Caenorhabditis elegans: one gene and its partners. The protein of the gene in region 3 interacts with the protein of the main gene of each other region in a pairwise test. Each region holds a gene or a part of one and is shown on either strand. Other genes may lie near its edges. The genes, in order: nhr-22, cpb-3, sel-10 and lin-12.

What was found.
Region 1: the proteins of sel-10 (region 3) and nhr-22 interact in a two-hybrid assay, tested with the Caenorhabditis elegans proteins (3 studies listed by BioGRID).
Region 2: the proteins of sel-10 (region 3) and cpb-3 interact in a two-hybrid assay, tested with the Caenorhabditis elegans proteins (one study listed by BioGRID).
Region 4: the proteins of sel-10 (region 3) and lin-12 interact in binary tests that used the Caenorhabditis elegans proteins (3 or more experiments, as listed by UniProt).

What each region holds. Positions count from the first base shown.
Region 1 is NC_003280.10:6,443,152-6,451,523, reverse strand, and holds nhr-22 (Nuclear hormone receptor family member nhr-22), read left to right. Parts: upstream 1-1,731; 5' UTR 1,732-1,735; coding exon 1,736-2,080; intron 2,081-2,958; coding exon 2,959-3,121; intron 3,122-3,209; coding exon 3,210-3,341; intron 3,342-3,777; coding exon 3,778-4,175; intron 4,176-4,223; coding exon 4,224-4,420; intron 4,421-4,467; coding exon 4,468-4,599; intron 4,600-4,647; coding exon 4,648-4,763; intron 4,764-4,809; coding exon 4,810-4,961; intron 4,962-5,007; coding exon 5,008-5,102; intron 5,103-5,153; coding exon 5,154-5,163; 3' UTR 5,164-5,329; downstream 5,330-8,372. Other genes in the region: atg-16.2 (Autophagic-related protein 16.2), read left to right, coding at 271-361; K06A1.2 (uncharacterized protein), read right to left, coding at 5,390-5,549, 5,594-5,658, 5,703-5,778, 5,831-5,907, 5,956-6,159, 6,207-6,374, 6,420-6,506, 6,547-6,654 and 3 more; cutl-16 (ZP domain-containing protein), read right to left, coding at 7,926-8,113. UniProt on the Caenorhabditis elegans protein: Orphan nuclear receptor.
Region 2 is NC_003279.8:5,786,854-5,794,927, forward strand, and holds cpb-3 (Cytoplasmic polyadenylation element-binding protein 3), read right to left. Parts: upstream 4,900-8,074; 5' UTR 4,871-4,899; coding exon 4,748-4,870; intron 4,701-4,747; coding exon 3,771-4,700; intron 3,727-3,770; coding exon 3,568-3,726; intron 3,494-3,567; coding exon 2,893-3,493; intron 2,817-2,892; coding exon 2,604-2,816; intron 2,529-2,603; coding exon 2,317-2,528; 3' UTR 1,781-2,316; downstream 1-1,780. Other genes in the region: Runt-related transcription factor rnt-1, read left to right, coding at 299-415, 1,025-1,083, 1,136-1,254, 1,307-1,536; ATP-dependent RNA helicase glh-3, read right to left, coding at 5,728-5,932, 5,982-6,163, 6,210-6,313, 6,359-7,591, 7,703-8,056. UniProt on the Caenorhabditis elegans protein: Cytoplasmic polyadenylation element binding protein that binds to and regulates the translation of specific mRNAs. May not be required for oogenesis.
Region 3 is NC_003283.11:13,816,241-13,824,901, forward strand, and holds sel-10 (F-box/WD repeat-containing protein sel-10), read left to right. Parts: upstream 1-3,120; 5' UTR 3,121-3,124; coding exon 3,125-3,214; intron 3,215-3,279; coding exon 3,280-3,347; intron 3,348-3,389; coding exon 3,390-3,486; exon of another isoform or gene 3,487-3,609; intron 3,610-3,720; coding exon 3,721-3,855; intron 3,856-3,903; coding exon 3,904-4,049; intron 4,050-4,097; coding exon 4,098-4,217; intron 4,218-4,277; coding exon 4,278-4,670; intron 4,671-5,017; coding exon 5,018-5,243; intron 5,244-5,292; coding exon 5,293-5,475; intron 5,476-5,782; coding exon 5,783-5,924; intron 5,925-5,974; coding exon 5,975-6,138; 3' UTR 6,139-6,740; downstream 6,741-8,661. Other genes in the region: F55B12.2 (Carbohydrate sulfotransferase), read right to left, coding at 20-162, 208-260, 307-401, 670-737; hpo-31 (CCA tRNA nucleotidyltransferase 1, mitochondrial), read left to right, coding at 6,920-6,969, 7,023-7,179, 7,225-7,320, 7,369-7,486, 7,922-8,039, 8,091-8,661. UniProt on the Caenorhabditis elegans protein: Probable substrate recognition component of SCF (SKP1-CUL-F-box protein) E3 ubiquitin-protein ligase complex, which mediates the ubiquitination and subsequent proteasomal degradation of target proteins.
Region 4 is NC_003281.10:9,067,574-9,075,112, forward strand, and holds the start of lin-12 (lin-12/Notch intracellular domain), read right to left. Parts: upstream 3,900-7,539; 5' UTR 3,816-3,899; coding exon 3,667-3,815; intron 2,147-3,666; coding exon 2,028-2,146; intron 413-2,027; coding exon 356-412; intron 1-355. Other genes in the region: F02A9.7 (CX domain-containing protein), read right to left, coding at 7,382-7,539. UniProt on the Caenorhabditis elegans protein: Essential signaling protein which has a major role in many developmental processes; involved in cell fate decisions that require cell-cell interactions. Probable membrane-bound receptor for putative ligands lag-2, apx-1, dsl-1 and osm-11.

The DNA of each region.
Region 1 (8,372 bases), on a different chromosome or scaffold from region 3:
GGCGTGCGCCTTTAAAGAGTACTGCGGAATTTTAATTTCTAAATCTTTCGATAAAACTACACTTAAATAAAAACTTTGAAAAAATGTAAAAAAATATGGCAGCAACAAGCGTTTAAAGTTACAGTACTCTTAAAAGATGAATATGTATTTAATAAAAAATTATCGTTTCGAGATACCGTAATTTTGAATGAAAATCGAAAACTTGGGAAATTAAATCCGCTTCCAGAGTACAATGCCCCAATTCTGCTCTCAAAAATGTTTTTTTTTCAGTTCGGCTCAAATAATGTCTCTGGCATGGAATCCGTCAGGCCGAGGTCTTCTAGCTTGTGATCGTCAGAAGACTTGTACACTCTGGAGATGATCTTCAATGTATGAAATTGAATATAATTGTACAGAATCATCATCTGTGTTATAAATGTGCATATCCATTTTTAAAAAAATAGTTTTACCCGCGTTTTTCATGTTTTCTTTCAGATTTTTCATTATGAACATTCGTTTGAAATAGAAAAAAATTGTATGATATTTATACATTTTAATTTAAACCGGTAATCCTCAAAAAATGCCTGAATATTACAAATTCTGTGTTATCACCACCTATCCCTTGTATTCTATGAACATAAAATGCACATTTTCTTATCATTTCACCTGGTTGGCTGACTGACAGTCGTTTGGAAACATTCGAGTTTTCTTAAATTTTCTATAGTTTCTGATGCTAACCTATGAAAATCAGTTCAAAATGATGACAAGAATACAGGAAATTAATAATTTCTGTTCCCGCAGCATGATGATATTTTTTGCCGATGAATAGTCCTAATTCTTCGTCATTGAAAAAAATTTGCTCCTTTCGATCTGAATTTGAAAAAAGTTTATTAAAAAAAGTATATTTCAAATATTAATGATTTCTGATTATTCTGCATTGCCAGGAAAATATTTTCATATAAACTTGTGAAAAGATGTCAATTTCTGAAAACAATTCGGCCAGTTTTCTGAAGCAGTATTTTACATATCTTCCAGGGTTCAAAAGATTAGTACTCTCAATGAGTCGCAGACAGCTTAGTTGTTTTTTCTTTCGTATTAATATACTTACATTTTCTTTTATCTCTAATTCTCTTACATCCACCTTTTCCGCAATCTCTGCCACTGTCGGCGATCTCTTGTTCTCGCACGTTTCTCTCTAATTCTATAACGAACGTAAATCTTTATTCTCTCTATTATTTTTATATATATTTGTGTGAAATATTCAAAACTTGAGTATTTAAATTTTTTGAAAAACCATAAGTTCAATGTGATAATTTGAAATTTTCCCATCACGTTTTCGATTAGACAGAATGAAGTTTCCGTTCCAGTGACTATAAATAGGCGAAATTTAATTGAAAATAGTTTTGCATTATTTTCAAACCACAGACTTTTTATTCATACATATATTTGAAAATATTAATTCAGTGAATTGCAAATTTAAAACTCACATTTCTTTAAAATTAATGAATCAATTTTCTATCTCTTGCCGTAACAAATAAATAAATCCATATATTAATATCTTCTCCCCTTTGTCCAGCCAATTTCTCATCTCCTCCAATTAGCCTCTTCCCACCTTTCTCTCTTCTTCATTTTCCCCCAATTCTGTTCTTATCAGTACTAACCTTGTTCGGTCCTTTCTCTCTCTAACCTCTCTCTTCTCTTTTTCTTACTCTCTACCATTGCCGCACACCTCCATTCATTTTCACTTTAATCAAATATGTCTACGGACCTTCTCTATGAATATTTCTATCCACCTACCGATTTATTCAAAAATACTTTTGAAGACGTACCACCATCTCCTGAGTCTCTGGACGTTGGTGATTCGTTAGGATCATCTCCATCTTACGATCTTGGATTCCAACCATCATTCGATATTGACTTCTGCATTTGGAAAGAGGGATCTTCATCACCTCCACCGGAATCGAATCATCTCCCAGAGATTGTAAATAAAGCTTCAACATCTCCACGTGGAATGCCATCTCCATTAACTGACAGTCGAAGTTGTCATGTCTGTTCATCTCCCACTGCCAATACTCTACATTTTGGAGGTCGTTCTTGTAAGGTAAGCAATATGATCAAGAAAAAAATATTTCTCGTATCAATTATTAATTAGCACTACTCCGAAAAAATGAACATTTTTTGTTTTTACAAGTGTTGTACTTTCGTTGTTGTTGTACAATATACATTTTTTGTTTTCTGGATAACAATTGAATTTGCATCGGACATTATTACCCAGGCCCACGGTATCCTGCCTCAGCGCAACATATTTTTGTTAAATTCGAAACGTTGTGCGTCTTTGAAGAGTACTGTAATTTCAAACTTTTATCATATTTTTTATCATTCAAACTCGTAAAATCAACATTTCTAGACTTGAATTTTTGTTCTAAAAACACCGATAAACCGTTGGTTTCATTAGTGATAATTGTGAAAAAAGGTCCTAAAGTATTTTAAGGCGTAATAATATAACTATGCTTTGAAAATGTGCCAAAATTTGTAACATGCTCGCCACGTGTTTTTATTGTTATCCTGTGTTATCTAGAAGTGTATTGTAGTCAGGTATTTTCTTTTTCCGTCTGCGTATTTCGACGAAACATCACTTATTTTTGTGGCCATTTGTGGTATGTGTCTCACACTATTTGTTTTTGTAGTCTTAAGTGTAGCTAGAATGACAATAGAAGATCTTCATCTGATCGGATGTTTGAACACACCACAGTACAGTTCCTGTTTAGAAACTAGCTCCTTTTGACCAAGTTTTGTATGATAATCTTACTGAAAACCACGAACAAATAGAAAAAGTTGTTGATAACGTACATCACACTTTGCATGCTTTATGTTTAAATAAAGAGAAAATGAAAAGTACAATTTGCATCACTAATACCTCCGGAAACATGTTTCTCACAATTTAATTGGAATAAATTTAATAAATGAGCATATTTTCAGGCATGTGCAGCATTTTTCCGAAGAAGTGTTTCAATGTCAATGACTTACGAATGCATTGGCACTGGAGATGACACAAATCCGTGTAGAACCCATTACGAGCTCAGAATGATATGCCGTCACTGTCGGTTCATCAAATGTTTAGATGCCGGAATGCGCAGAGAACGTGAGTGATCATTGACAAGGTCATTTGTCACATGTTCAATTGGCCAAAAAGTCCGAGGTACAAAAAACAGTAATTTGTTGTTTTGCAGTGGTGCAAGCGAGAAAAGAAGAGACGAGAGTTGCAAAACGACGTTCCAAGGGATTGGTTGTATCGAAAAAGGAAGATGACGATGTTGAATCTTCGTATGATGAGTATGTAAATACATATACAAATGTTCAAGGTTAGTTTCTAATTTATTTCGAAAATATTTTTGAAGCCCTCGACTGGGAAATTTTTTAAACCCTCTCCTATGGTAATAAAATTCCTAAGTATAACAGTTTAACGTTTCAAAAAATTTTTTAAATTTTTTAGTTACCGTCAAAAGTGGGCAAAACTCAGTTTTCATCTATCACAGTTTTTGGAAGTTGACCAAAAAAAATATTTATCTACAAGTCCTTTTTTTTACAGCGTTTTAATTGTTTTAATTGGAAAAATTCCAGGGTTCCAACTTGTAACAATTTCTACAATTTTTTGAAAATTTGGCAATTCACCAAAACTGAGGTTTTTTAAACTCTTAATCTTTTTGGAAAGTTTTTATGAGATTCGGTTATGTTAGAGTATTATAAGTGTATCTATCCCGACTGACGATACTTTAATAATACCATTTGTTGTTTCAGATTCGAGCCCGAAAATGGAATCAGGGATTAATGAAATGACGATTCCTGAGTCATACCTTTCACCGGATCCTTCATCTTCTCAACCACTTGATATGACAGTAACACCTCCACCACTGCACCGTTCAACTCCATCCATACTTCTTACTCCAGCAACTGGTGACCGTATGCACTGTCAACGTGTGCTTTCCAATTCTCCTCCATTCGATATACACCAGGCAAGCACCAGCCATGCAGGATTTATTCAACATGTACAGTTCTACCCAGTCGTTGAAGTTGAAAATAAAATTTTCGAATTAGTTGATCATTATGTAAGAACAGAAGCTTCATTGAATGATCGAAGGAAAATAATGTACACGGATACTCAGATAAGAGATGTTTTCGATACAACTTGTGAATGTGTGAGTTTTCAATGCACCATATCCATTTCTCACAATATTCTCTTTCAGCCCTACGAAAATCATCAGCTGAAACCTTTCAACTATAAATCATTTTGCGGATTTGTAAAGCACGACTTTGTTATGATTCTTGATTACGTGAATCAATTTCCGGAGTTTCAAGCTTTACACAAAAATGACAAAAATGTGGTCTATCGAATGGCTTGCGCCGTAGATTCAATGCTTGCATCTGCCTATTATAGCTATAAGTGAGTATTTAATGTTCAAAAATTAGATTCAGTCAGTTTTTCTACAGAGTTGGAATAGAAAAAGAACGTCTAATACTTTTCAATGGTGACTATATCAATATGAATCCGATTCCAATAAGTGGAGATGAGCCAGGCGCGGGAACAGAGTTTCAAACCCCGCAAGAACATGAAAAGTACAAGTGAGTTTGCTAAACTTTTTTAAATCTCAGTAAATTGTTATCTTGCAGAACCCTAATGCCACTGAAGCTAAAACAATATTTCGATCTGGCAATTCCGTTCGCTCGACTAGAAGTCTCATTTGAAGAATACGTACTTCTGAAAGCTCTCATAATTTGGCAAATCAGTAAGTAAATAATATCTACAGTAAAGTTTTAAAATTCTCGTTTCAGGTAACTATCGGTTACTAGAGGAGGGACGAGCAATTTGTGCACGGCAACGAGACACAATAGTTCAAGCCTTGCATAAAGTAGTTGAAGAACGAGGTGATGAGGATCCAGCTATTCGAGTTGGTCAGCTTCTTCTGAGCATGAGCTATATAACGGTTGGTTCCATCATCAATTTGTTATGAAAAATTAAATGAGTTTCAGGAGCAAGTACAAGCAATGACAAACTCTTACCTTGTAATGACTTTCTTTGATGTTGTATCCTGTGATAGTATAATGTACGACTTACTATCTTTCAGGTAACAAAATTCTAATAATTTCAAAGTTTAAATGTTATCAAATTATTTCAGAGACGACTGAAACAACCATCGTGAAGGTTCTACTTCATTCATCTGACTTTTAACGACTATTAACTTACATAGCTTTATCGCGTAGCTTTTGTATTTAAAATTGTGACATTTTGTTTATATTCTGTGATTTTCTTTTTTTGCCATATTCGTTCAAACTCTCAATTCAGATCTTTCAAAACATGTGTAAAATTGAACTCATTTCAGTTGTATTGATATACATTTAATAATTAAAAAATTTATTCAACACTTGACACATGACTAGGGCTATAAGAAGTCACCGAATCATCCACATAAACCGGAAGAACGAAATATTGCCAATGCGATTGTGGAACCAAATATGGTTTGCTCCAAAGACGTTGCAAGTCACCCGTTGGTGGAGTCGAGTCAAGAGGAAACCTGAAATAGAATGGATTAGAGATTATTGAGAACTATGAATTCACCATTCAATAAGAATATTGTGATTCAACGTTGGAGATTCAGCTCTAGTACATTGCTCGACTTCTATCTGAAATTTCGACTGTTTTTGGTAGCTCTAGATGTAGTTTTCACCGAAATTTCTTTGCCGGGAGGAATCAAAAACTTCGATGGATACAACTTGTAGAAGCCAGTGGTTGACAACAGAGCTCTACAAAAAATGAACTGTATTTAAAATAACCAGAATAATTTTCGCTGCAGACCTCAACGCCAACCAATCATTGTTCCTATTGTTCTTCACATTCAATATAGACAATCCAAGCCGTGGGACATGGAATGGCTGAAAATAAAATAATGTTGCAATATATTTCACTTTAATCATTCTCACTCTCGGATGGATATATGTCATTTCATTAAACTCGCTCTCGATTCTCGTCTCACCAGATTGAGTACTCAGAATAGTTGGAGCCACCTGGCTTGGGGTCTCCTCGCTGATTCGTGGAATTGGATCAATATTAGGCTTCAATTTACTGAGCAGGTATGTTTGGATGACAAGCAACATATGATAAACCAAAATGAAGAAGTGTGACAGCTGAATCAGAAGTTTCGTTCAATGTTGGAATAAGGCTATCGGAATACCATAAACTGCCAAATTGCTCCATTTAGTCTACAATAGCCAGGTTCATGATCTTTGTGCCAGAGACAAACTGTAGAAAGAAAGCATTCATAAACAAATATTGGGACTGTAATCAGCTTGAAAATAGCAAGGAAGAGTGCACCAAACTTGTTGATATACTTTCGATCTTTCTGAAAATTAAAAGATATGGAATGGACTAGAATTAAAAAACTTACAACATAAATGAATAAAGAAAAATCGAAAATGAAGAATATCAAGGGAAATGAGAAATATAAAGATGGACCGATTCCAGCATCGAAAATCTAAATTAATTTGGTTGGCCTGTGATTACTGGCGTTTTACCTGATACAAGAAGTGCCGTGGTGTTGTGAAAACTCCTTTTGGATGTTTCATGCAAACTTTTCGAAATGGAAAGTATATGGTTACCAATGATAGAAGGAGGAATAGTGACTGAATAAATGTTTTCTGGAATAAACTATACATTAAATCCCAACCTTTGCCCATAAAATAGTCGTCATTCTACTCTCCTCTGGTATCACAATATTATATTTCGGTAAATATTTCACTGATTTCATATAGAATGTGACTAGCAGAAGAACCACACACGAGAGCCCAACATGACCAAAGACTAGCCACCAAACTTGGGACATTGTCCATAATTGTGTCAACTCGGCCATTTTTCGCTTCTCCGGAGCACATATTTTGGGTGAACTTGATGAAGTACAGCAACAATGGGTATCTCTTGCTGGAAATGGAATGTTGAAAATAATATAATTTATTTCAAATTTACCATCACCCAGGCAAACTGATGACTCGTCAGTTTTGTTAAGCAAAACAGCACAAGAAAGTGTTGAAAGTTTTGAAGGTTTTTGAGAACAATCAAATCTTTCAATATCTCCTTCTGATGTGGCATGGAAATGAGAAAAGCATATGTCAGACGTGCACTGGTTATTTCCATTTTGATTGTTAATGCACTGGTTCGAAGATCCCGAGGATAAGGATCTGAAATTTTTACTATTTCTGAGATATCCACGCAGGACGTGAAATGGTTGCATCTGACTTCCAGTCGGTCTACCCGCGTGCCTACTGCTAAAGTACATGTAAAAACAAACTTTCAGCAATAAAAACTTTAGTGAGACGTTTGTAAATCTACACCGCGCAAAATTCAAAATGACATCAGCCACGAGAGAGACAGAGGCAGGCAGGTATGAGATTTGCCTGTGCTCCTGGAAACAGATAAGAAATTTATAAACTCACAAACTACATAAAACAAAGACGATAACTTTTAGCATGCTGGGAAACTCAAAAATGATCTTTCTTTTTTGTTTTACGTGGTTTTTGTTTTATTTTTGAAATATGAACACGTAGAGCTTATATGAACTATCACGGTAAAATTACAAATAATAAGATTCTATTTATATATTAAAAAAAAACAATTCGACATTCATTTTTCAACTTTAAACGCTGAAATTGGCACGGAGATAACATATCATTCAGAAATCACAAATCAAAAACAAAAAGATGGAATAGTTGTTATAATTAATAGGAAAATTATTCGAAAACAACCCATTTTGGCAGGAAAATATGTAAGGCTGATGAAATGAGAACAGAATAAAGCATTTGAAGAAGGGATTTTGGGGAAACATTTACACGCAACGGAAAGGTCTTCTGAGGATTATGGAAATTGAAAGAAGTCTAGAAATGAAAGATCTTATAGAAAGTTATGGAAGAACTTGAAACCGTGGGTTCTTTTTTGCTGTATAGCAAAGTGCTCCAAATGTGATTGAGACTGCAAAGAGAATGACTCCGAGAAGAAGCCATAAAACTGCATATGGTAAGCAGACTGCTTTCATTGGGACTTCTTCTTGTGATGATGATTGTTGTTCTTGTGGTGATGGTAAATCAGCAGCTAAAAACTTTGATGTATCTTCATGTTTCTAATAAATTTCGAGTATGAAAACTGTTCTGGAAACTCTCTGTGGCTATAAGGAACGTGTTACCTATCTTGAAAGCGACCTACTCGTATTTCGATCAACAAATCACGATCCTTACATTACACTGGACGCAGGCTACCTTTCACAAAAGACGCAGCATGCCTTGTGGACATTTTTGAACTAACTAGATCATTCTAGCTATAACGCATAAAATATATACAAGTACCAAAGTCT
Region 2 (8,074 bases), on a different chromosome or scaffold from region 3:
ACTACTCCATCTTTAAGTTTTCTAAAACAATGTATAGATTTACCGCACATCAACTACCGTACTCTCTTATCTGATTATTAACCACGATGCGTCACCTGGTACACCTCTTTACAAATAAAAACTAGTTTTCAGAAAGCCTAGTAATCGGTAAATATTCTTATCAATTGCAACTTCTTATGTTGCATTGAGTTTTGGTTTATTTATTCAAATTTATTTTTTAAAAAAGGAAGCCAAATATGTTGGAATGGGAAGAAATGATGTCAGTTTAATACGATAAAACTTATTAATTTAATTATAGGTTACGGTTGATGGACCAAGGGATGCGAGAATACCAAAACCACAAGGATCTTTGAAACGGCAGGCAGAACAGCAGACAATATTCCCAAATGATATTATCCGAACGCCTGGACCACCGGTACGATTTTTTGATTTTTGTACAAACAAAATTTTGTATTAATTACTTAAGTATAGGGTCTCGAAATTACCAGAATTTGTTGAATAAAGCCTGAGAAAAAAAGGATGTGACTTTAAGAAGTACAGTAGTCTCCTTTTTCTGAAATCGAGGCAAATGAAAACGCTCCGCCCCCTCATGTTGGGTCTCGTTAGGTATTGGCGGGAATATCAGAAATTCAAACGTTTTCAATAACTTTTGCTGATTTCACCTGATTTCGAGAATTAAATTGTTTCTACTCTCAATTGACTCTAATGATTTTTACTGTGAAATAATGTTTTGAAAAGTACAGAAAAGTGAATAAGGGTTTTTATTTGATTATGAATTTTATGGCATCAGTTTCGATATAAAATTCATCCGATAATACCTAACGAGACCCAGCGTTTGGGGGCGGAGACTTTTGGCGTTGGAGCGCGCTCACACCCCCAATTTCAAAATTCACATTTTTCTGCGTCCCCAATATAAAAAATTCATTCATTTTTGAAATGTTTTTAATTTGAAAAATTCTGCAAAAAACTGTAGAAGAACATTCATGAAAAAATTGCAAACAATTTTTAAAAATTTAATTTTCAGATGCCAATGACAATGATTCCACCACCATGGTTTCCTTTACCAATGACTCAAACTTTCCCGTAAGTTTTTCGAATTTCACATTATTCATAAAATAATTTTTATATTTTTCAGCCCATCATTTTTTCCGCTTATCTCTCCAGGACCACATCCTTCTATCTCAGCTGCACTTTGGAAAATTCACAGCGAATCGATGAAAACTCCGATTAAACAAAAAGTTGAACAGGAAAATGGTTAGATTATTTTTTCGGAAATAAATATATATATATAATTTATTAATTGCAGTATCCCTTAATACGTCTACATGCCTATCATCTCCATCAATTTTTATAACTCCAACTTCTGATGATCGGAAGTTAAAACGACCATCTTCTCCTCGTTCAATCACAAAATCATCAGAAACTTCAATTAATTTAATTCAAGAAACTCCGGAATCTGTAGAATCAAAAAGACGAAGAAATGTATCAATAACTTCATCGAATAGTTCTTCTCCGACTATTTGGAGGCCTTTTTAATCTTAAAAATATTCATTATTTTACCACAACACACCAAATTTCTCTCAATTTCCAAATCTCAATTGTTTCCTACCTCTTCAGTCACTTTTCTCAATATTCTCGTTTTAAAACACGTTCAACGGGTTCATTTAACGGTTTTCAACCTTTTTTGTATAATAATACAAGTTTTGATCTAAATCGGAATAGATTATCATCATATCTAATAAAGTTTCAGGTTTGAATTCAACTAGACAACAAGTCGTACTATCGAAAAAATTTTATTCGAAAAAAAAATTAATGCGCAATCTGCGAGAAAATATGCAATTGGGGAGGATGTGAAAGAGTACTTAAGATGAATAATTTTATAAGTGATAAAAAAGATAAAACGTTACCTTCGATTCTTCTTGTATACATTAAACGAGAGGGAGGTAAAACGCAATGCGGAGAGTTTAAATCTACAGATGGGACCAAGAAAATGGCATACGAATTGATTGCGAATGACAAGGAAAAATGGCATCAGATTCGGATAAGAGTTGGGAGATGGATGATTAGAAACACAACAAAATAACAAAATTGATTAAAAAAACAAACAATTAAGAAGGCCCAAACTAAACGCTACAGGGGAAAACAAAAAAAGATGTTACAGATGCAATATGATTCACAGGGAGTTTTCTCATTCATAGTTTTCAGCAAACATAAACTACGTTGATTATTTCTACAGAACTACGAGCGACGGAACTTATATAAAATATTCGAATAGTAATGAGAACATGGCAATTTTTGATGGAAACAGGCAAGCGCTTACTGGCCGTAATTGGGAGAGCGCATCATTGCAGAAGGATGTTGCTGAGGGGGAATAAAGCCATAATAAAGGTTAGCGCCATAGTATGGTTGCTGAGGTTGCGAAATGTTGCTAGATGTCGGGTGGTTTGGAGAACCGTAGTATGTTGGTGGTGGAGTTAGGAATGCAGCCGAGTTGTAGTATGCTGGCAATGGAGAACCGTCGGACACACCTGAAATTTGAGAAAATGTAACAATTGAGTAAAATAATATGCTCCGCTTATAAAGTATTGAAATATTCCACTCACTCTTTTGTGGAGATATGACAGGAGTTGAATTGAAGAAGACTGTTGGCGGAGTCGAAAACTCTGTGAAGCTTCTTCTATTCTTGTTGATCTCACTTGGTGATGGTGTCATTGGTGGCTCAAAAACGGCTGGTTTCAACAGTTGTTGACCATTTTGAATATATCCATAGAGAGCTGACAATGTTTGTGCAGGTGCGCCGACGATGATAGGGAAACCTGAAAATTATAAAAACTGAGTTTAAGAAATAGATATTTTCCAAATTTTCGAAAAATAAAAATTAGTTATCTGTACCTGCCGAAGGAAAATGAGGAATCGAATTATTGACTTGAGAATTGTTAGATCCATTTTTCAACGACAAGCTGCTTGAAACTTGCGAACGACGAGTAGTTGCTCCTGGAAACGCTTTCGAAGCCGACGATGGTACAATCACTGGAATATGGACTTCTTGATCATCATCTTTTCCGTGATCCAATGCCCAACAGTTGTGACAGTAGTACTTGAAGCAATTCTTATTCCGACAGAAACAGTGTGCTGACTGCGAATTACATACCATACAGCATGTACTTTCGAGGAATGGATCTATCTGGACACGTTTACGGAATTTGCTGGTATAGACGTGCAGATATCCCATCTCGATGGCTTTGAAATACGCGCCATGTTCACGAAATGTGACACGTCCACTTCCAATCGGATATTTGAACTTATCCGTATCAAGTTGCACACATTCAACGGCTCCAAAACAGTCCTCCATTATTGAATGAAGTACTTGAGCTGTCATCATCCCATGTAAAGCTCCAACAAAGACAGTTCGTTTTGGCTCTATTCCTGTTTCGAGAAGTGTATCATCCTCACAAAACATAGAGTCCGAGGTAACCCATGGAATGATTTGTACCTGAAATGATTGAAAATTGAAATCATAGTAGAATATACGCAAAAAAGAAACATCACATATTGTGGTTGACCTACCTGCCGTATCTCGGTCGATTTCGATCTTTGAGCTCGAATCTTAAAGTACCATTCTCCGGCTCCTCCAATCTCTTGAGAACATTCGTGAAGTAGAGAAGCAACAGCGCGTTCATCTTCAAATATCATGTAGACGTACCCAGTAGCAGCTTGTCCAGTATACTGAAAATTTCAGTGTTATTTTTAACCGTTCAAAAAGTTCGTACCTTCGTTTGAGCTCTCAAACTCCCATTTGACGGAGCCAAATTTGATTGTCCACTGCGATAACGTGCTTCTTGTCCAGGCCATTCAACTGCACACGAACCAAATTCTCCAAATGAATCTTTTAAAGCTGCCTCAGTGATATCCCATGGAACTCCTCCAACAAATATCTTCCGTGAGAATGTTGGACTTGTATAATCTCTGGGCGGAAGCTCTCCAAACCAAGTTGCGTCGCTATCACGGTTTTTATTTCCATGTTCTTGTTGGAAGTTTTTTCTTTTCATCGGAGATTCCTCATTTGCAGATGTGAAGTGCTCTCGAGATGGAAACTGATTCATACTGTCAGAAGGAGACGATTCGGTTGAACTGCTGAAGCCTTTTTGCGGAGAATCTGTAGGAGTCTCAAGGGAACCACGAGGATTACGGTAGAGATTCCGATTTGCCTTATTGATTGGAACGGGAGCACCCTTCGAGATAACTATCTTCTCATATTCTCTAGTCATTTCAGCAACGAATGAACTATTATTTGTTTTTGTTGAATCCTTCTTTTGCTCTGCGTCTCTCTCGAAATTTAGTCGCCGAGCAGATTTCTTACGCTGTGAATTTCTTTCCGAGTCGATAGACTTCTTTGTAGTTCTTGAAGATCCAAAAATATGCATTCGATTCGACGAATTCGGATGCTCTGTTGATGTCCGGCGAGATGGTACAATCTTTTTGAGTAGGCGATTAGCAGGCGACGGAGTGGATTCATCTACTTTCGATGATTTTTTGCTTCCAACAGTGAGCATTTGAAGCTTTCGAAGAAATCCATTCTTCTCGTCTGTAGAAAGCTTGTCAAATCCTACATTCATGTTGTCTTCTTCGGTCGGCTTTACACTGTCCGATTTGTGGTACTTCTTGAACAAATCATAAACTGTTGCAGGAGTTGGAGATTTCTAAAAATGAAAACTTTTAAACTATTTCGAAAAACAAATTTACAAACCTCGCCAACTGACTCAACAGGACTGAGCTTTAACGAGGGCGGAATTTTGTTCTTTCTCTCGGTTGATTTCGCAACGATAGATCTTTCATTACCGATGCCTTCCACTCGGTCATTCAGGTTCATGGTGAATGCTTTTATCAACGGCAGCAAGTCTGAAAATTAGAAATGTTCCCTTGAGTTCAAGAGCGAAAGTAATTATGCTCAGGCGAAAGTTATTAACTACAGGTTCTTCAAACTTGTTTTTAACGAAAACATTTTCAAACTCAAATTGGAAGAAAGAATTTTCCCTAAAACAACACGGACAGAATAAAAAACTGACAAAACATTTCTAAAAACTGATTTTAAAATTTTGGGATTTTCGAAATTAAAGCATTTTGAAATTTGAATTTGCTTAGTGTATGCACACAAAACATGATGAACGACGCGATGTTACACAGAACATGTGCTACAGTAATTCTTTCGTAAAATTCAAATTGACTTAATTTAATTTTTATATACATAAGATTTTAATATTATAAGATGAATGAGATTTAATTATTTGAATTGATTGAATTTAAATATTAAAATTCATTAAAAAACACGTTCTCAGCGTTCACTATTATCAAATTTATGAGTCACGAATAAACAGATGACCAGTTATTATCGAGTGGGCATCGTGCCAAGACAACTGAGAAGTTAAAAAAAACTGATAGTGAGTCCATCTGAAAAGATTTTGAAAGCTTTAATTAAAACAAAAATTTATCAGATTTACGAGACATTGATTGAATACTGATCTGAATTTATAAACATTCCAACTATTGAAAACAAAAATGAACATATAAACCTAACAACAAAAAATATATTTTAAAAATTCGGGAAATTTAAAGTTGAAATGCCAAGACGATCAGATATTTTGGGGAATAAAAGGGGGCTGAACATTATCAGAAAAATAATACGTCAAGATTGATATTTTGCAGAAATTAAATTTAGAATACATTGCTTCACCAAGCTTCCTCCGGTTCCTCGGTATCAATAGATTTTTCGAATTTATTAGGATTGGAGGTCCCTCCTGCAGCTTCCTTCATCCAGCTTGGCACAACTTGTTCGGCGTCAGCTAGAGTTCGCACCAACTGCGGCAGAATTTGAACATCGTCTGCCAATGATATGAAGCTAGTTGCTCTTCCCGAGTTTCCGACTCGTCCAGTTCTGAAAAACGGTAATTACAAAAAATAAAACATTTCAGGAAATAACCAACCGGCCAATTCGATGGATATAATCATCAATGTTATTTGGCATGTCGTAGTTAATAACATGATCTACACCTTTAATGTCAAGACCACGCTCAACAACAGCCGTGGCGATGAGCACTGGCTTAGCTCCACTTCGGAACAATTTCAAAGCAGCCGACCGTTCTTTTTGCTCGCGAGCACCGTGAATCTATAAAAAAGAAGAATGGAAATACACTACTAATATACAAACGAACTGTAATCGCTGGAACTTGGGCTGCCGACATGATACTGGCCAGAGTGTCTGCCATTTTTTGTTGAGCAACGAATACAATCGTTTTCTTCACAAAGACATCAGAATCTAAAAACATATATGACGATATTGAAAAGTGAAAGTAAAACAAACTTTTCTCGGTGGTGTAGGTGTCAATATCGATACCGAGAAGCTTCAAAAGCTTATCCACTTTTGATGTTCTATCGCACAACTCGAACTCTTGAATGACACATTTGTTGGCGGCTCCAATTTTATCGATTGTAATCATTGTGTAGTCTTCACGCAACAATTTACGAGCAGCTTCTTGGACGCTGCTGGGAAATGTGGCACTGAACATCATTGTTTGTCGTTTATCATTTTTGGGCATATTCTTATAGTTGATAATTTGCTCAATTTCTGGTCCGAATCCCATTGAATCAATCATTCGATCTGCTTCATCTAGGACCAGGTATCGACACTTATCGAGTTTTATAGCGCCATCTTCACAAAAATGTTTAACACGTCCAATTGTTCCAACAATGATAGTACATCCTTTCATAATCTGGCTCTTATTGTATCCTACATTTATTCCGCCATAGACTGGTTTGATTTCCATAACAGATTGATAGGAAAACTTTCTGCCCTCGTTGTAAATTTGATCAGCAAGCTCTCGAGTTGGTGTAAGAATAATGCATCGTGGATAGCAACCTCCTTCTGCTCCATAATTCAAATCCTTTTCCAAAATTAGACGAGACATAATCGGCAAAAGAAATGCTGCAGTTTTGCCCGATCCAGTCTGAGCACAAGCAAGGATATCTTTGCCATCAGCAACAAGTGGAAGTGTATATTGTTGAATCGGAGTTGTTCGGGTATAACCTGCTCTCTCCACGTTTCTTCTCATACTTTGAGGAATATCGGAATCGGAAAAACTTTTACATGGTTGAATGGTGACCGGCTGTCCACGTGACACAAGTTGAACGCTAGCGTCAAAGAACTTGTCAAAGAAATCTCCAGCGTTAATCTTCAACATGCTAAATACCTCCTCCATCTTGTCCACGACTGGCACATAGGTGACCTTTGTCGGCTCTTGAACTCCGTTTTTCGACCAGCTTGCGCACTCATTTGCACGATGATTCGGATCACCACAATTAGCACATTCACGTTGTGGGGCGGAGCATTCTGTTGCACGATGTCCATACTTCTTGCAATTGAAACATGTATTGCTGATTCCAAAACCTTTTGCTTCAAGGATTGGAGAGGTACCGCAGAATTCATCGCTTCTTTTGTTTCCATAGCTTGAAACACCACCGGAATCTCTGTCACGTTCCTCATCTTTTGCCGAACAGTTTTCAGTTGATACTTGATCATCAGAACGGTGGATGCTCCCTGAAAAAAGTTTGAGAAATTGTCTATTATCTGTATTCGGTACTTAATTTCAAATAATTCTTCATACAAAGACCACACTTTTACCAGATAGTAAATTCCTGCCAAACTTACCTTCATTTTCTTTGACATTCGAGGTTCTCTTGCTTCCACGAGTTACTGCTCGTGATCTAGAATTTAGAGATCTGCCCACGAGAAATCTCGGATTCATTATCCCAGGACATTCCAATTCCGTTGTAGATGGTGATCCATGCAAATTATTATTTGAGTGGAAAACATTATCAACTTTGTCATCGAAGCCAGAAAAAGAGCCCCCAATCTCGCTGCGCACGGCTATACGTTGATCTTCGGAAATTATTGTTGGTTTCGCTTCGAGTTCAGACATCCTACAGCTACGACGAGAAAATACTGATGATTGAACTCCAAAACTGCTGAGACCTCGATCATCTTTTTTAATGCATGAACTCGCTGAAAAATAAATGTTGG
Region 3 (8,661 bases):
ATTAGAGAGACTATTGTACCTTTCAGACATCCACGTATCATTTAAAGATCGATTTTGGTTCTGAAACTCTGTTTCATTGTGTAGTAAGCACATTATATTGATTAAAAGTTGGGACATCGATTTTCGAATTCCACATGATAAAATCTTATATTTAGGAGCAATCTGAAACAAGACTGATCTTCTAGGACAGCACTTTCTAAAACGTACAAATAGATCCGATCTAATATTTACATATGGTTGGATGAAGTCAAGGTGATTATCTGACATTAGAAGAAGTATGCTTCTAGTGCAAGTTTCAACAGTTACCTCTAAGTTGGCGAATTTCAGATGCCATTCCGTAATAGTATAAGATAACTATGAAGTTGATGGCAAATGCTTGAAATATGATTCTGTTTTTTGAACTGAAACAGTTTAAGCATTAAAGGAAGCATTGAAATCAATACAAAATTAAAATTGAAAAACAAAAAACTAAACCATTGAGGTCTGAAACATTCTTAGTTTAAAAAGTGAGTATTTTGCAATAAAACACATGCTTTGGCTTCTAAATTCACAGATTTGAAACGTTACAGAACTTATTTCAGCAATCGAATTAAAAGAAAATTTCCCATAAAATGCTGTAATCATTTTTTCCCTGAAACCTACAGTAGTATCGAGTCCTAATCAACTTACCGATCCGCAGACTGTTTTCTAACAATTTTCAGATTTGTCAGTAGAAATAAATGCCCATTCTTGGTCATGATCATTTGGTAACCATAAAAGATCGTCGTTGTCTTTTGATTCTCGTTTGCCAAATAGAGCAAGACACGGTTGTTTGATGCCAAAACGGAGGGAGTAGACACAAAAATGGGACAGAATAGAGTGTGGAGTGATTTTTAAAATGTAAACATTTCCAGGATATGAGCCACAAAAAGGGATATAGACCGGCAGCAAACATTACTGTACATGATGTATGAAAAAAAGAATGCCGACCAATCAAAATCACATTGAACGATGGTTGTGTCTGGATCTCAATGATCTCGGATGAAAATGGGAGTAATTAAATTGTGCCTAAAAGTAGTTTCAAAGTTGCATCCATTTTTGATGCTTCCACTTCAACTTTTGAACACACGTAGATTACCAGAATTTCAAATCGGATCAGAAAGTAAATACCGTAGTTCTTTTGTTGTAGGGGTGGGCGGTAATCAAGGAATTTTCTAAAAAATGTTCAATTTCGGCAATTTCTGAACATGCCGTTTTTCGATAAACCAACAAACAGATCATCATATTGTAATCAAAAAGTTTGTAAGTTGGCCATTTATATTTGAAAATAAATAAAGCTCTACAAAAATAATACATTTGTTTTTCTGAAATACCCATTTTTAATAATTTGTGGGCAACATATAATAGTCTTAACAACAGACTGAACACTTTTTAATTTTAAATCAGGTATACCCACTATTTCATTTTCTAGACACCATACCGAAAACCCTAAATTTTGGCAACACGTATGATGTTGGTATTTGATTTTATCCTTAAATTTACAATTAGAGCTCATTTTTATTCTGTTTTTGTTTCTATAGTTTTGCAGTTCAAATTTTAATTATAATGTGAAAATCTTCCAAGAAAACATTTTTTCAGCTTTCCAAAATCGTTCTACAGAAATTTCCGAATTGGTCAGGTCTCTTTCAACTAATCGAATTTTTTGACATACTGGAGCTGGACTAGTATCAAAATTGCCAAATTATTTTAATTTAATTATTTTCATGTTTCGTCGTCCTTTTTTTATCGAAATGATATAGGTAGAAAGGCGTGAAAATAAAAATATATTTCACGAATTTATTGTCTGATACCAACGTCATTCTTGAATAGATTTGGATTTTATTTCAGTTTTTATTTCACTAAATAAACATATCAAAAGTGTTGGAAATTGTGGCTCCTCCTGAAGTCGAACAATCGGAATTTCCGTTTTCAGAGAATGTAGGCTATTTCAAATAATCGTATTTTTCGGTTTTGTGCAATTTCTAGCATATTGAATATATATCTTGCAAATGTGATGTGTTGCTGACAAATATGAATTTTAACTTTCGCTGATAAATATCAGTACAATTTATGAATTGAATCCTCTCAATCACATCTCAATTCTTTCATATTCGTCCCCCCGCAATACAAAGCCAATAAAGTGTGAAAAACAAAGAAATGGAGCAAATAGTGAGCTATGACTCAACTAACGTATTTCAGATGGGAATTGCAGTTTAGTCATGAATGTGTTATCATATCAGAAATAGTTCTTGACATTTGTGAAGAAATATTATACAGAAATTCCAAAGCGATTGTTTCCAATTGTGGCAGGTGTTCGTGTCTCTTTTTCTGTCAGTTTATGGTATTCATTTCCATAAAATTACCCCCTCGGTAGCCACAGATGGTCATAATTCTTTTGAATTCAGTTATGGAAATACCACATTACGTTCAGAATGTTACAGATTTTAAATCATTTTTCTTTTGTGGTTGTAAATTGAATCACTTGTTTTAAAAAACCATATTACCTATATGTATTATTTTATTCAAAAACTGAATTAATATACTCAGTTTAAAATTTCAAAACAAGAGTTTTCGTGGGATGCAGTTCGTTTTTTAAATTCCTTATTATCCTGAAATTTATAAGGATGGTTTACTTGTGCAATACGAAACAACCTTTCCGTAAAAATGATTTTGAAACAAGGTTGAACACATTTTTCTGCACCATCATGAAGGACGAGAACCCAGCTGTCATATGCAACAGCAGTGACCATCGAACACCTGCTTCTTCTGTGAAACTGATTATGTGACCGACAAGTCGGACATTTTATATTTTATTTTACACGAGAATATTTGTTGAAGTTATCTTATCAACTTTATACACTTTATATGCATAGAAAATGTTTCATCGTGTGAACATCAAGTGAACAAACGTGCGCGTCGGAAAATGCGTCAAGCGGTTATTGGCGCACTACTGGATGCCTTGACGCATATCGCGTGCAAAAAGCTTTCATCTTCTCTTCTCATTTTCTCACGAAAATCATAGTTTTATCGACTTTCCTTTTGTGTTCAAATTCTTCATTCCCAGTAGTTTTTGTCCTTTATTCATTTCCAATTCTTTTTCAGCCATATGTGGCCACGAAATGATGTACACATGGATGATGGATCGATGACACCGGAGGACCAGGAGCCTGTTACCGATAATGATATGGAATATAATGTATGTTAACATTTACAACCCTTTTCAGAATATAATTTAATTCTAATTGAAATGTTTGTCTTCAGGACAATGGAGAAGAAAGCTCGTACAGCAATGGCTCTTCTTCCAGCTACAATGCTGACAAATTATCGTCGTAAGCCTTTTTGTAGTGAATATTTATAGCAAAACGTACCAGTTCCAGACCTTTGCAACACAAACTTGATTTATCGGCTTCTCCCTCTCGAAACAACGACCTCAATCCGCGTGTCGAACATTTGATCGCATTATTCAAGGTAAACATATTGATTGATTGTCGCGATCAATCTTTCAGCGTTGCGGCTAATACACATGCAATAAATTAATATTTGAATGCGACAATAATTAGTAACATGACAAAACAATGCATTCAAGCTCCGGTGAGGGTGACCTGTGTATTATTGATTTTTCCAAACCTTGAAGAGAGCACCTCAGCCAGGCATATTCGCTCTATTTTTGCTGAAAAAAAGTGTAATTTGAATTCATTTTAGGATCTATCAAGCGCGGAACAAATGGATGCATTCACACGTCTGCTTCAGGAATCCAACATGACAAATATTCGACAGCTGCGTGCCATTATTGAACCCCATTTCCAGCGTGATTTCCTCTCCTGCCTCCCTGTCGAGGTATTTGTGTTGAAACGGAAAGAAAAATTATAAATATAACTTTTTCAGCTCGGAATGAAAATCCTTCACAATTTAACCGGATATGACCTGCTCAAAGTGGCACAGGTGTCGAAAAATTGGAAATTGATATCTGAAATTGACAAAATTTGGAAGAGTCTTGGTGTCGAAGAGTTTAAACATCATCCAGATCCCACGTAATACTTTTGAACGGGAATTATTTGAGATTAGTATTATCTTTTCAGAGACCGAGTTACTGGTGCGTGGCAAGGAACTGCAATTGCTGCTGGAGTCACTATTCCTGATCACATTCAGCCATGTGATCTTAATGTTCATCGATTTCTAAAGTTGCAGAAGTTTGGAGAGTACGTTTATTGGAAATATTATTTTTAAAGACGTTCCGATCACATTCGATTTATTTTCAGTATCTTCGAACGCGCTGCTGACAAGTCACGTTATCTTCGAGCCGATAAAATTGAAAAGAACTGGAATGCGAATCCAATTATGGGGTCAGCAGTGCTACGAGGACACGAAGATCATGTAATCACTTGTATGCAAATTCATGATGATGTCTTGGTGACTGGATCTGACGATAACACTCTTAAAGTATGGTGTATTGACAAAGGAGAGGTTATGTACACACTAGTCGGCCACACTGGAGGAGTTTGGACATCACAGATTTCTCAATGCGGAAGATATATTGTTAGCGGGTCCACTGATAGAACTGTAAAAGTTTGGAGTACTGTAGATGGTTCACTTCTTCATACACTTCAAGGACATACTTCCACTGTTCGATGCATGGCTATGGCTGGTTCCATGTAAGGCTATTCACTATGATAACTGCTTGGAAAAAGAAATTTAATACTGAAAATTTCGGGTTTCGTACAGTTGAATTCCCTAATTTGCGAGCTATATCAAATCTTGATGGAAAGTTTTTGATTTGTAGATCATTTATATCTTAAGAAAATTATTCTATCTAATTTCACAAAAAAAGTTTATGGTAATTTTTTTAAAACTTTTGTTTCAAAATAGAAAAACACGAACGTGTATTTGGTTGTTTAAGACTTTTTTAATACATTTTCTATCTTAAAAATGAGAAGAAAACGAAAAATCTCGCTGAATAACCACACTTTCAACCCATACATTTTAATTTTAATACTTTCAGACTTGTCACTGGATCACGAGATACCACTCTTCGTGTATGGGACGTAGAATCCGGACGTCACCTGGCAACTTTACATGGCCATCATGCAGCCGTTCGATGCGTTCAATTCGATGGAACAACTGTTGTTTCGGGAGGATATGATTTTACCGTTAAAATTTGGAATGCTCATACTGGGAGATGTATCCGTACTCTGACCGGTCATAACAATAGAGTTTATTCTCTTCTCGTACGTTTTTCTTATAACAAAATCCGAAAAATAATGTTTTTGTTTTCAGTTTGAAAGCGAGCGATCGATCGTGTGCTCTGGCTCTCTGGACACTTCAATTCGCGTGTGGGATTTTACACGACCGGAAGGCCAAGAATGTGTGGCTCTTTTGCAAGGACACACCTCACTTACATCCGGAATGCAACTTCGAGGCAATATTCTCGTGTCATGCAATGCAGATAGCCATGTTAGAGTAAGTATAGAGATGTAAGATTGAGAAACTTGTCATAGTTAAACATTTGTACGAGAGTCTGAATCGCTCTCCTGTTAAACAATTAGAGACCAATTCCAATTAATAAAATTGGTCCTGATGTTTCACTGCGTTTTCTGTCTCTCTGCGGCTGTTTCTACAAAAGCCAATATTCGATGGCAAACAAAGGTGTACGGATCTGAAATGATTTTCAAAAGTATGGAAAAGCACAAAAGCGTAGTAGATAAAGTAACCCTCACATTGTGAGAACATTGAAAAATTGTATTATTTTTTTAAATCATTTTTTCAGGTATGGGATATTCACGAGGGAACTTGTGTACACATGCTTTCTGGACATCGATCCGCTATCACTTCACTTCAATGGTTTGGACGAAATATGGTAGCAACGAGTAGTGACGATGGAACTGTCAAATTGTGGGATATTGAGAGAGGTTAGATCACATAAATTACAGATAGTTTTACCCATAAAAAAATTTTCCAGGTGCACTGATTCGAGATCTAGTAACTTTGGATTCTGGAGGCAATGGTGGCTGTATTTGGAGACTTTGTTCTACTTCTACGATGCTAGCGTGTGCAGTCGGATCTCGTAACAACACCGAGGAGACCAAAGTTATCCTTCTCGACTTTGATGCTGTATACCCTTAACGAATTCTCGAATCTCTGCCCCTGTACATAGAATGTTCTTGCTTAGGAACTAATATTGTACACGATGCCCTCATTTTTAAATCAACAATGCTATCATATCATGGAATATAGTCAAAAGCCAACAGTATTGAAACGTCAAATTTGAGGAAAAACGAATTTATGTGTCTATTCAACTCGTTATATCCCGGCCCGCCACTATAATTTTTCTTTTTTTTACTATTTTTTGTCAGATTCTGTCTCACACTCTTCTCTTTCTCTTTTCGATTGTTTCCCATTAAGTTATCGGGTTTGATTGATTTTATATTTTTATTCAAATGATGGGCTCACTACTCCCAGATTTTGATTTCCTTTATACAATAGTTCAGTCAGTATGTTAGTCCTTATGTGACTTCTTTTTGATCTAATGAGCTTTTTAGTCCCTGTCGGTTCCCTCTTTTTTCGCTTTCATTTTTCGTAAAAACTACTTGTCAAAATTCAAAGTTCTACCCTCGACATTGCCTTTTTTAAAATTTTTGTCTTCGTTTTATCGACTTATGCCAGACGTCATTCGATTAAGTAGGTTAATAACAATTATTTCATAATAATAAATATCGATTCGTGTCATCCGTCTATATGTGATTTTCTTTTAATATCTCTATTGGAGATTTCTCCAAATTATCCTGTAATTTTTCAGTGAGTGAATATCAGCTTTATGAAGTTTGTGTCTAAATTTTTGACCCCAACTACAATAATTAGTTTAACAACCAGAAGTCTATCAACAGCAAAAACTCCAACATACATCATGAATCAAATTGAGCCAACTACAATGAAAATTGATAATGAAGATTTTCGGCAAGTTCCGGATATTTGAAGAATCGTTTTAAGTTTAATTCTATATTTTTCAGAACTCTCTTCACACCTCAACTTTTGAAACTCCGTGATTTATTCGCCAAACGAAATTATGAGCTTCGAATTGCCGGTGGAGCTGTTCGAGATCTACTTATGAACATTCGACCGGCTGACGTTGACTTTGCCAGTACTGCAACACCGACTCAAATGAAGGTTTTAATTGTTTTCCAAATCTCAAAAAAAATATATTTTATTCAGGAAATGTTCGAAGAGGATAAAATTAGAATGCTTCATAAAAGAGGCGAAGAGCACGGAACAATCACGTGTCGCATTGACGATTGTGAAAACTTTGAGGTATTTAGTTTTTAGTTTAATAAATTTAATCTATATACATTTTCCCAGATCACAACGCTTCGTGTAGACATTGTGTGTGATGGAAGAAGGGCTCAAGTTGAATACACAACTGACTGGCAACTTGATGCAAATAGAAGAGATCTTACTATCAATTCACTGTTTTTGGGTTAGTATAGAAATTGGAAATTGAAAGCACTCCGCCCCCGAACCATGGGTCTCGTTAGGAATTGTCAGCAAAACCGTAAATTGAAACTTTCAATTAGTTTCGGCACTTCCGCCAAATTTCAAACATTTTCTGTTTTTTCCTGTTTTTAAAAATAATTTTTATACGGAATTGGATTTAAAATTTATAGTAATATGAAAACCCATTATTCACCTTTCAAATCCGCATAAATTTTTTCAAATCATCATTAGGAAATGAAAAATAATCAAAAACAACAGAAAATCGCCGAAATTAATTGAAAACGTGTGCATTCACGGGCTTTCCGCTAAATACCTAACGAGACCCATAGTTTGTGGGCGGAGTTTTTCAATTGGCAATGGAGCGCGTTCCCATAATATTATATTCTTTGCTCATGAAATATTGGAATTTCTTTTACAGATCTTCATGGAAACGTTGTCGACTATTTCGGTGGAATCAGAGACATTGAAACTCGGCGCATCGCTTTTGTTGGAGACGCTCGTCAGAGAATCCAGGAGGACTATTTACGAATTCTTAGGTTTTTACAATTATCATACATTTTCCTGTTATCAAAATCTCTATATTTCAGATATTTCCGTTTCTTTGGACGAATCAGTGACTGTACGGAACACGAGCACGACACAATTCAGGCGATTGTAGAGAACAAGGATGGTATGGCGGGAATAAGTGCCGAGAGAATTTGGACAGAACTCAAAAAGATTGTGGTTGGAAGAATGGCTGATGAGGTGTTAAAAGCGATGATTGAACAATGTGAATTACAAAAATATCTGGGACTTCCGAAGGAATGCAATCTAGAGAGATTTCATACAGTTTTTAATAGGTTTTCAAAAACTGTCGAGCCAATGACAATGATTGCATGCCTGTGTGAGGATGAACATCAAATCGCCGAATTTCATCGTATTACGAAGCTCTCGAACGATGAACGTCTCCTCGGTGAATTCATTCTTAGTGAACGACAATCTGCTGTTGAGAATTTAAAAAACGATGACTGGTGGATTGATAGAATTGTTGATTTGGAAGTACGTCCTGGTCACGAGAATCAACAGGATCGACTTCGTCAGCGACTTGTCCAACTTGCCAAAAGTGTGCTCGCTGATGAAGAAAGAATTCAAATGATTGAGAATTTTGAAGCTCCCAAG
Region 4 (7,539 bases), on a different chromosome or scaffold from region 3:
TTTGCAACTACTGTGGAACGTGTCAAAAGCCCCAATAAAAGTATACCGTAACCTAGAATGTTTTGAATCTGAATTCATTTCAGAATTCGTTTCCCACGACCTTCTATTATCAAGACGTCAAGAAGACGACCCCCAGTAATTATAGAGTCATTTCGAAGATGATCGGTGTTGACGGGAAAGTCATACGGCTACAGTAATCCTGTCTCTGTTAAACTAACTATGCCCATCAATAATCCGTTAAGTTTGCTCAAGTGTACTGTGACGTAATCGGAACCGATAATTACAGGGCGCTATTAGTGGTTTGTTACACTTGTTTGTTCGGGTTATTGTTGCATTAGAATATGGAAGTACTTACCTCCGTAACCGGATGGACAGCTTGGTTTTAGTAGACTGTTTCCGTTAATGTCGCAATCTGAAATTTACTATCATAATTATTCTGTATATTAGAAAAAGTTAAGTCTAGGATATTTTTGTGTTGAACTGGAATAATTATCTGAATGAATAATTGTACTACAATAATCACAGTTCCCTACAGTATCCTGCATTACCACTACAGTACACATACAACATGTATCCACTAACCTCATTCCAATATCCTTTCAAAAAACAAAAACACTTTTTCAGAAACTACAGTACTCCTACATTACCCATATGAACTCAAAAGCAGACAGTTATTTTTAATATATAAATTGATCTATCCCTGTAACCATTCCACTTGTATATTTGCTTATTAGCCTAGTCGTACAATAACCAAATGTATACTTTCCCACGTCTGCCACTTCTTCTCCGACAGACTTCTGCTACATCAAATCCTATATACTATCATCATCTGCTCATCATTTCTAGGTCATTTATCCCACTTTTTCCCAAGAATTGGCAACACACACGAGGCGCCATCGGGTCGTCGCCCAATTCACCGCCCTCTTCACACATACCGAACATCAGACATAAATCGCGCCAAAAAGAAGCGCATCGACAATAGAGAAGCGCGCATGAAACAGAGAGGCTAGGAGGGGCAGATGACCTAGGAGCTATCTATCAGGCACCTTACGCGGTCACTTTTAACGCCGCCAACAAGACAAATGAGCTGAAGAGAAATGGAAAAAGATTGGCCGCGCTTCAATTTGTCCTCGATACAAACGAGTCATGATGAAATATTGAGGTGTTTGGTTGCCGTAACTTTGTTAAATATCTACTAACTACAGATTGATGAAGTTTGGAGCAATACTCATAAATGGTTTAACGGAAAACGATTAGTAAAATTTTTGAAAGTTGGGAATGGTAAGCGCATAAAGTTTAAAGCATAGTTTTCGTAAGCTTTCGAAATATGAGGAAATGCCTGCCTGGCTACCTACAAGGCAGCCTACGTCTGTTTCGCATAAATTACACATGTAGCCACAAACTTCCAATCTTCTAATGTCTTCAATTTTTGTTGAATTTTCAACATCAATCTACAGCAAACTACAGAGTTCAAGCTAACATTTAAAAAATTAGACGGTAGGCCGGCAAGTCAGCGTGAAGCAGACATTTAGACCTGTATACGCGTTGCCTATAGGCCTATTGCTATTATACCTGTGATAGCTTTAACAATGAGTAAGTAAATTCTTATTTTTTAATCTTCGAATATTTCGTTTAGTCTTAAAAATGATACAATTCCTAGTTTCTTAACTTCCATTGAATTTTCAAATCCACCTATTCACTTTCAAATTATTATTCACCCCCAACTTTGTCAGTTGTTTGCCACAATTCCACCAGGCATGTGCTTATGATGGATGGTGTGGTCAAAAAGATGACCGACAAAAGGGCGCGCGCAGCTGACCCTAGTTTTGGAATTTTGGGCCAAAAAAACATTTCATTCGCAACACCGCCACCATGGAGGGCTAAAAAAAATGAGTGATGGGTGTTTAGGTCCCTATGGGAATTGGGCAAAAAAGTGACCACTACTGGCTCATTGGTTTTGCAGGAAAATGAGATGCAATGGGAAGTGTTGTGTATAAGTTATTCAGCTCGAAATTACATTATCTTACCTTTACAGACACAGGTCTCCATCCGATAATCTTTGTCAAAAACACATTTCTCATCGGCTCCACATTTTGAAACATCACACTGTTGTTCACAATATTCACCACCAAATCCTTCATCGCATCTGAAACATTGGGAAGGGTTAGGGTTAAAGATTAAAGACGTCGTGCAGCCGAAAGGCACCGTAATCCTATTGTTTTATGGTTTTATGACAACTGATGGTAGGCTCACTCGACAGTATGTTTTGCCGACAAAACTGGGAACACGGCTGTAAAATTGTGAGGTGGCAACTGAGTCCTCATTTGTGATAAGATAAGCAATTTTGAAGACTATTCTTTTTCTCATTCAAAGTCTCAAAATGCCGAGTAAAAGTGGCATTCGTTGCAGTTTTCCGAAGTTGCCAATTGAAAGTAAAGCAATTTTCAGAAAGTGCAAACATTTTTCTATACTTCTATTTAAATTTTCGGGAAAAACTTTGACAGATAATACATCTGATAGGGAGTTCAAAACCAGCTACAGTAATCTTACAGTAACCCCCCATTGGTCATTTCTTTTGGGAACTTGGTCATAAATCCTACCCCATTCTTTTTTGTTTGATAAGAAAAATGTGGAAGACCAGTATTTTTTTGTCATTAAGAAGAATTCTCCCCTCAATTTCCCGTATTTTTCGGTTTTCCCATGGCAATAAACTACCGATTTGGGTGATTTTTTGGCGGCGGTGCGAGACCAGGAGGGGGAAAAGCTGCTTCTCTTTCGCATTTTAATGAGAATCTCAGCGGGTTAATTGCCTGGTTTTTCTTCGACTTTGAGACGAGAATTGGCAGGAAAAAAATGGCTGAGAATTGCTTTTCTGAAGTTGATTTATCCAAAACCCGACTTTTTCCAACTTTCCCATAACACCCTGAAAGTATTGTTTTTACAATATTTTCCCTCACTTTTTCCCAAAAAAATTGAAAGTTTTTTCTACAGCGAGGGACGACGCAGGTGTCTCCTCTGTGGGGTTTTTTCTCTCATTACTCGCTCATTTCTCTTGTTGCGCAAGTTTCGTAAATGGTGGGAACCCGTGCGAACAATGTCCTCCTATTAATTAACATCAACTATAAATTAATGGTGTGTTGTTCAAGTGACACGTGTCTCTACTTGAACCATATCACCTATCTTATCAGGAGCTAGCTGCTCAACGGAGAGCACATGCCGCTATAAATCAAGACGGATTACGTAATTATTGTTTGAAAAGGGCATGGATTATGGAAGAATAGTCTACTGGTACAAACAATGTTTTGTTATAATTTACAGTACTTCTTTTACTAGTATTGCACCTAGCTACTTAACTTTGTAAAGTTATAACTCGGTTAATTTCAAAGATATAAAAAGAATTGCCGTATTTCCTCTAATAGTCTTGAATAAAAGAATAATAGAGGAAATACGGTAACTACAAAACGGTAGCAAGAGAAATAACAAAAATTTGGTCAGTTGACAATTTTGTAAAGGAAATCCCATAATTCCTAGGAATATTCCTTACCCCCAATTTATTGCGTATTTTTAAGATTAGTTTTCAAAATGTGTAGATTTGTATTATTTATTTTACGTTGAATTAAAATTTGAAAAAATGTTTAAGTATTGTTAAGCAAAATCTTCACATACCTGCACCAATAAGAAGTTTGAGTTCCATTGACAGGTCCAGCATGGCAGTGACCATTTCTTCCACATATTAAGCCAAGACATGAGCCAATATGAAGCGATTTTGATAACGAGATAAGAAGAAATAAAAAACAAATCGTAGGGATCCGCATTTTTTGAAATTGAGCAAAGTCTGTTGAGCAATAGGGCGGACAGAGACAGGAAATTAGCTTTTAGATATGGATCATGTAGGTTCTGAAAATGGTTTTGAATTATTTAATTTAGTGAATTCGTTGTTTGAAAGTTGACGACAGTAAAACGGTATAGAAATGCAAAGGATCGGACCGTACTAATATTGCACCCCTGTTATTTAGTGTTGACAGCTTATATCTCAGTTGTCATTTGTTCTAAATAATAATTGTCAGCTGACAAAATATTTTTTCCATTGTGCAGAAAATCAGTTTTTGATATCATCAAAATGAGCGGAGATATTACCTTTCAAAGTAAAGTAGTGAGTTGCAATACTAAAAGAGGAATACAGTCATCGTCAACTAACAAACAAGGGCAAAATAGAAGGAAACAGGATCAATTCTTAAAACTATAATACTTGGCTCGAAACATTTTAAATATTTCGTGAGAGCTGTAGGAATATATTATTACCAATAAACGAAACCTAATAAAACCCAAACCTGGTAGCTTTTGCATTATCATTAATTAAGGATAAATAAATGCCAATCAAAAAATGGGTGGCTATTGTTATGTCTTCACCCAGTAAAAAGGACGAGAGAGGGCGAAGGGGTGGGGGTAGGATGAACACAAAAGAGAGAGAGACAGATGGCTCCGCCCAACTTGTTGCGGTCGCGGTGCGGCCACCAAGTAGACTTTTTTTTCATCGAGAAAGAAAAGGAGGAGAAGATGATTTTAAAATGAAACGACGATGTCAGATGGTTGGATGAAGTAGAAGTAGGAGGAGGTGGAAGAGAAGAGAGTGGGAACGGAAGGAAGAATGATCAAGATGAGGAAAACGAACTGCTGGGAACGTATGGTGATTTGCGGCTTTTGGGTCTTTGTGTGTCAGTTTTAGAGTTTTATTTCTGTTTATTTCTGTTTATTTCTGTTTATTCGGATACTTTATAGTTTTTAGTTTTATACATCAATACTTGCAAAAAATTTCTAAGCTTTGTTCAAAAAGTAATATCTTGGTTTTATCCATTTAGGAACAACTGTAAGATTGTATAAATGATTTTTAGCCATTTTATAGGCGGAAGAGATTTTTCATAGCTTTTCCTGTTCAAAAGCTGAAAGAGCTTGAAAATACTAAACACATCGAGTAAGAATTAGAAAAAAAAACAAATCAAAATATTGAACACGCTTTTTCCAAGGTGTTTTCTAATCTCTCTATTTGAATTACCTCCAAAACGAGAACTGCATGGCCAATCAGCAATTCGCTCTGCCCATTCTTCAACCAATCAGATTAAGTATGGAAATTCCGAAGTCGCTAATTGGTTCAAAAGTGGGCGTTTGTTTTTGGCGGGAATTCAAACAGATTTGATCATTTTTTGATTATTTTTTTAACTGTTTCACACAATTAAATATAACCTTATTCTCGACAATTAATTGCTATCTGAACCAAATTTGTTGCAAAAATTCACGCATAGTTGTTGCTACCAATTAACTACTATTTTCCCAAAACACGGAAATGATGGATGAGCCAACAGGAGCACAGGTGTCTGTTACTGTGGTGTCATATACATGTGACGTGACAATCAACCGGCAACTTTGAACTGTCGTCGACGGATTAGTCTCAAGACCTCTTGACTTGATTTATTGGCATGGGAACCCGCCAAGGAAAGGTTTCAAAAATAACAATATTGTTAATAAATGAGTGTAACATTTAAGAAAACATTTAAAAATGGCATTAACAATAGCTCTATAAAAACCTGGTTTTTTAGAAGGCCGTTATTAATTATCAGCTTTGGTGGTATTTTGTTTTAAAATAGTCAAATCTTAAAATTACCACAAAAAAGATAATAGGAAATCTTATGAAAATGAAAAAAATGTTGCTGAAGAAAATTCAAATTTCCGTTATATTGTGAATGGGGCTACCTTGTTCTCCTACTTTTATTTGCACAAGTGCATCATCATCTGTGTCCTTCTATCTCAACCATTCATGATTATTTTGTGTTTTAGTTGATTTTTTACTGATTGATCATGCATCTAAAAATAATGGGAAAATGTTTTCAAAACTAACCTTTTAGTGGGAAATTGTGAGATTATTAGCGTGGGCGCATGCCTCCCCAAAAAATGTTGTTATCAACGTACGTAGTAGTAGAAAAGAAGCCAAATGGAACAAAACGAAAAAGAAAAAGAAATCGAAAATATGAAACAAATAGAAAAGAATCAACATTTCGGCACAAGATGGCAGATATTGAATATTGATTGATTCAGGTACACTTATACAATCTCCAGTTGCACAGGTGGAATCGTCATATTGGACAATCTGGCAATATTTATATACACGAAGACCTTTGTCGATGGTTTATTGCTAATTCGATTACAATTTTGAGTCATTGTTAGGAAAGTAGAGGTTGCAGATGTTTATTGATCATTTCATAATTTTTATTAAAAGTTTTTTTTCTCTTTTCTGAAAATTCAATCCGATTTCAAGCATGCTAACTTTGAACATTTTTAGATTTTTCTAAATTTTCAGTCAGTTTTGGTAATTGAACAAATTTTTCAAAATGACTTTCTGAGACATTTTGAGCCATGTCGCAGAAACCCTTACAATGCTTGAATATAAGCCTTTGAAATATAATTAAAATTTTAAAAAATGATGGAAAATCCATTTTTCATTCTTCTGGCCAACTTCCGAAATCATGATATGGAAAAACAGAGTCATCTACACTTTTCGACTGGAAATGAATATCTTAAGATTTAAGATTTGTTAAGATTTCGAAATTTACTTGAATTATAATGTTCAACAGCTTTAGCACTAGAAAATGATATTTTCTCATTTCCCACTGGTGTTACTCCAAATTAAGTTGAGCATAATAACTTCTATCATTTGATACTTTGATTCAAGTACGGCTCCTTCGAAATTTCAATGCATAAACTCGCAAGTTTAGAACTCCAGAAAATGTATGAGGTTGGTTAAGACCCCAATTTCTTCTTCCGGTTTATTTGTGCACAATGATGTAACACGAGAGAGTGTTACCATAACTTTTCTCGACTTTATACATTAATCTACAGTAATCCAACAGATACGTGTTATGTTAATCCTTCCGGATTCTGTTCAACATATAGTGAACTGACTGAGTTAATTTTTAGGGCAATAAATCAATCTATGTAACTGTTTGAATGAATCTATAAAACTTGGGTTGGAAACTTGGGTATTTGACATTTTTTATGATTTGCCATCATTATTTAGAAAGTGCTTCAAAGAATCACCGCTTTGTTATTTATGAAGAAAAACATTTTGACCTCTTTAATACCACAAATATTTATTCAAAAATATTATTCAAAAAAGAAAACCGGGATCATACTCTGTAAAAGTGAGAAATAAAACATCATATTTCCAGTATTCGTCTGCTCCCTACAACTCGAACAGTTCATATCGAAATTTATTAATTTTAATAATGTTTGATAAAAAATTGAAAAATTTTCAAAAGAAATGCCGGGAGTGAGACTAATAGAAGAAATGCGACAGATATCAAATTATATACAGTAAATCGATTTTTTTTCATGCTCCGACACCAGGCGCATTTTCATTTTTCTTTGACATATCCACAAGTTCCAACGATTTATAGACTTGTGACTCAATCTTCTTCCCATTTAACTTCTTCTTTGTCCATTTGAAAATAGTATCAGCAATTCCACTGATTAGCAAGAAGAATAAGA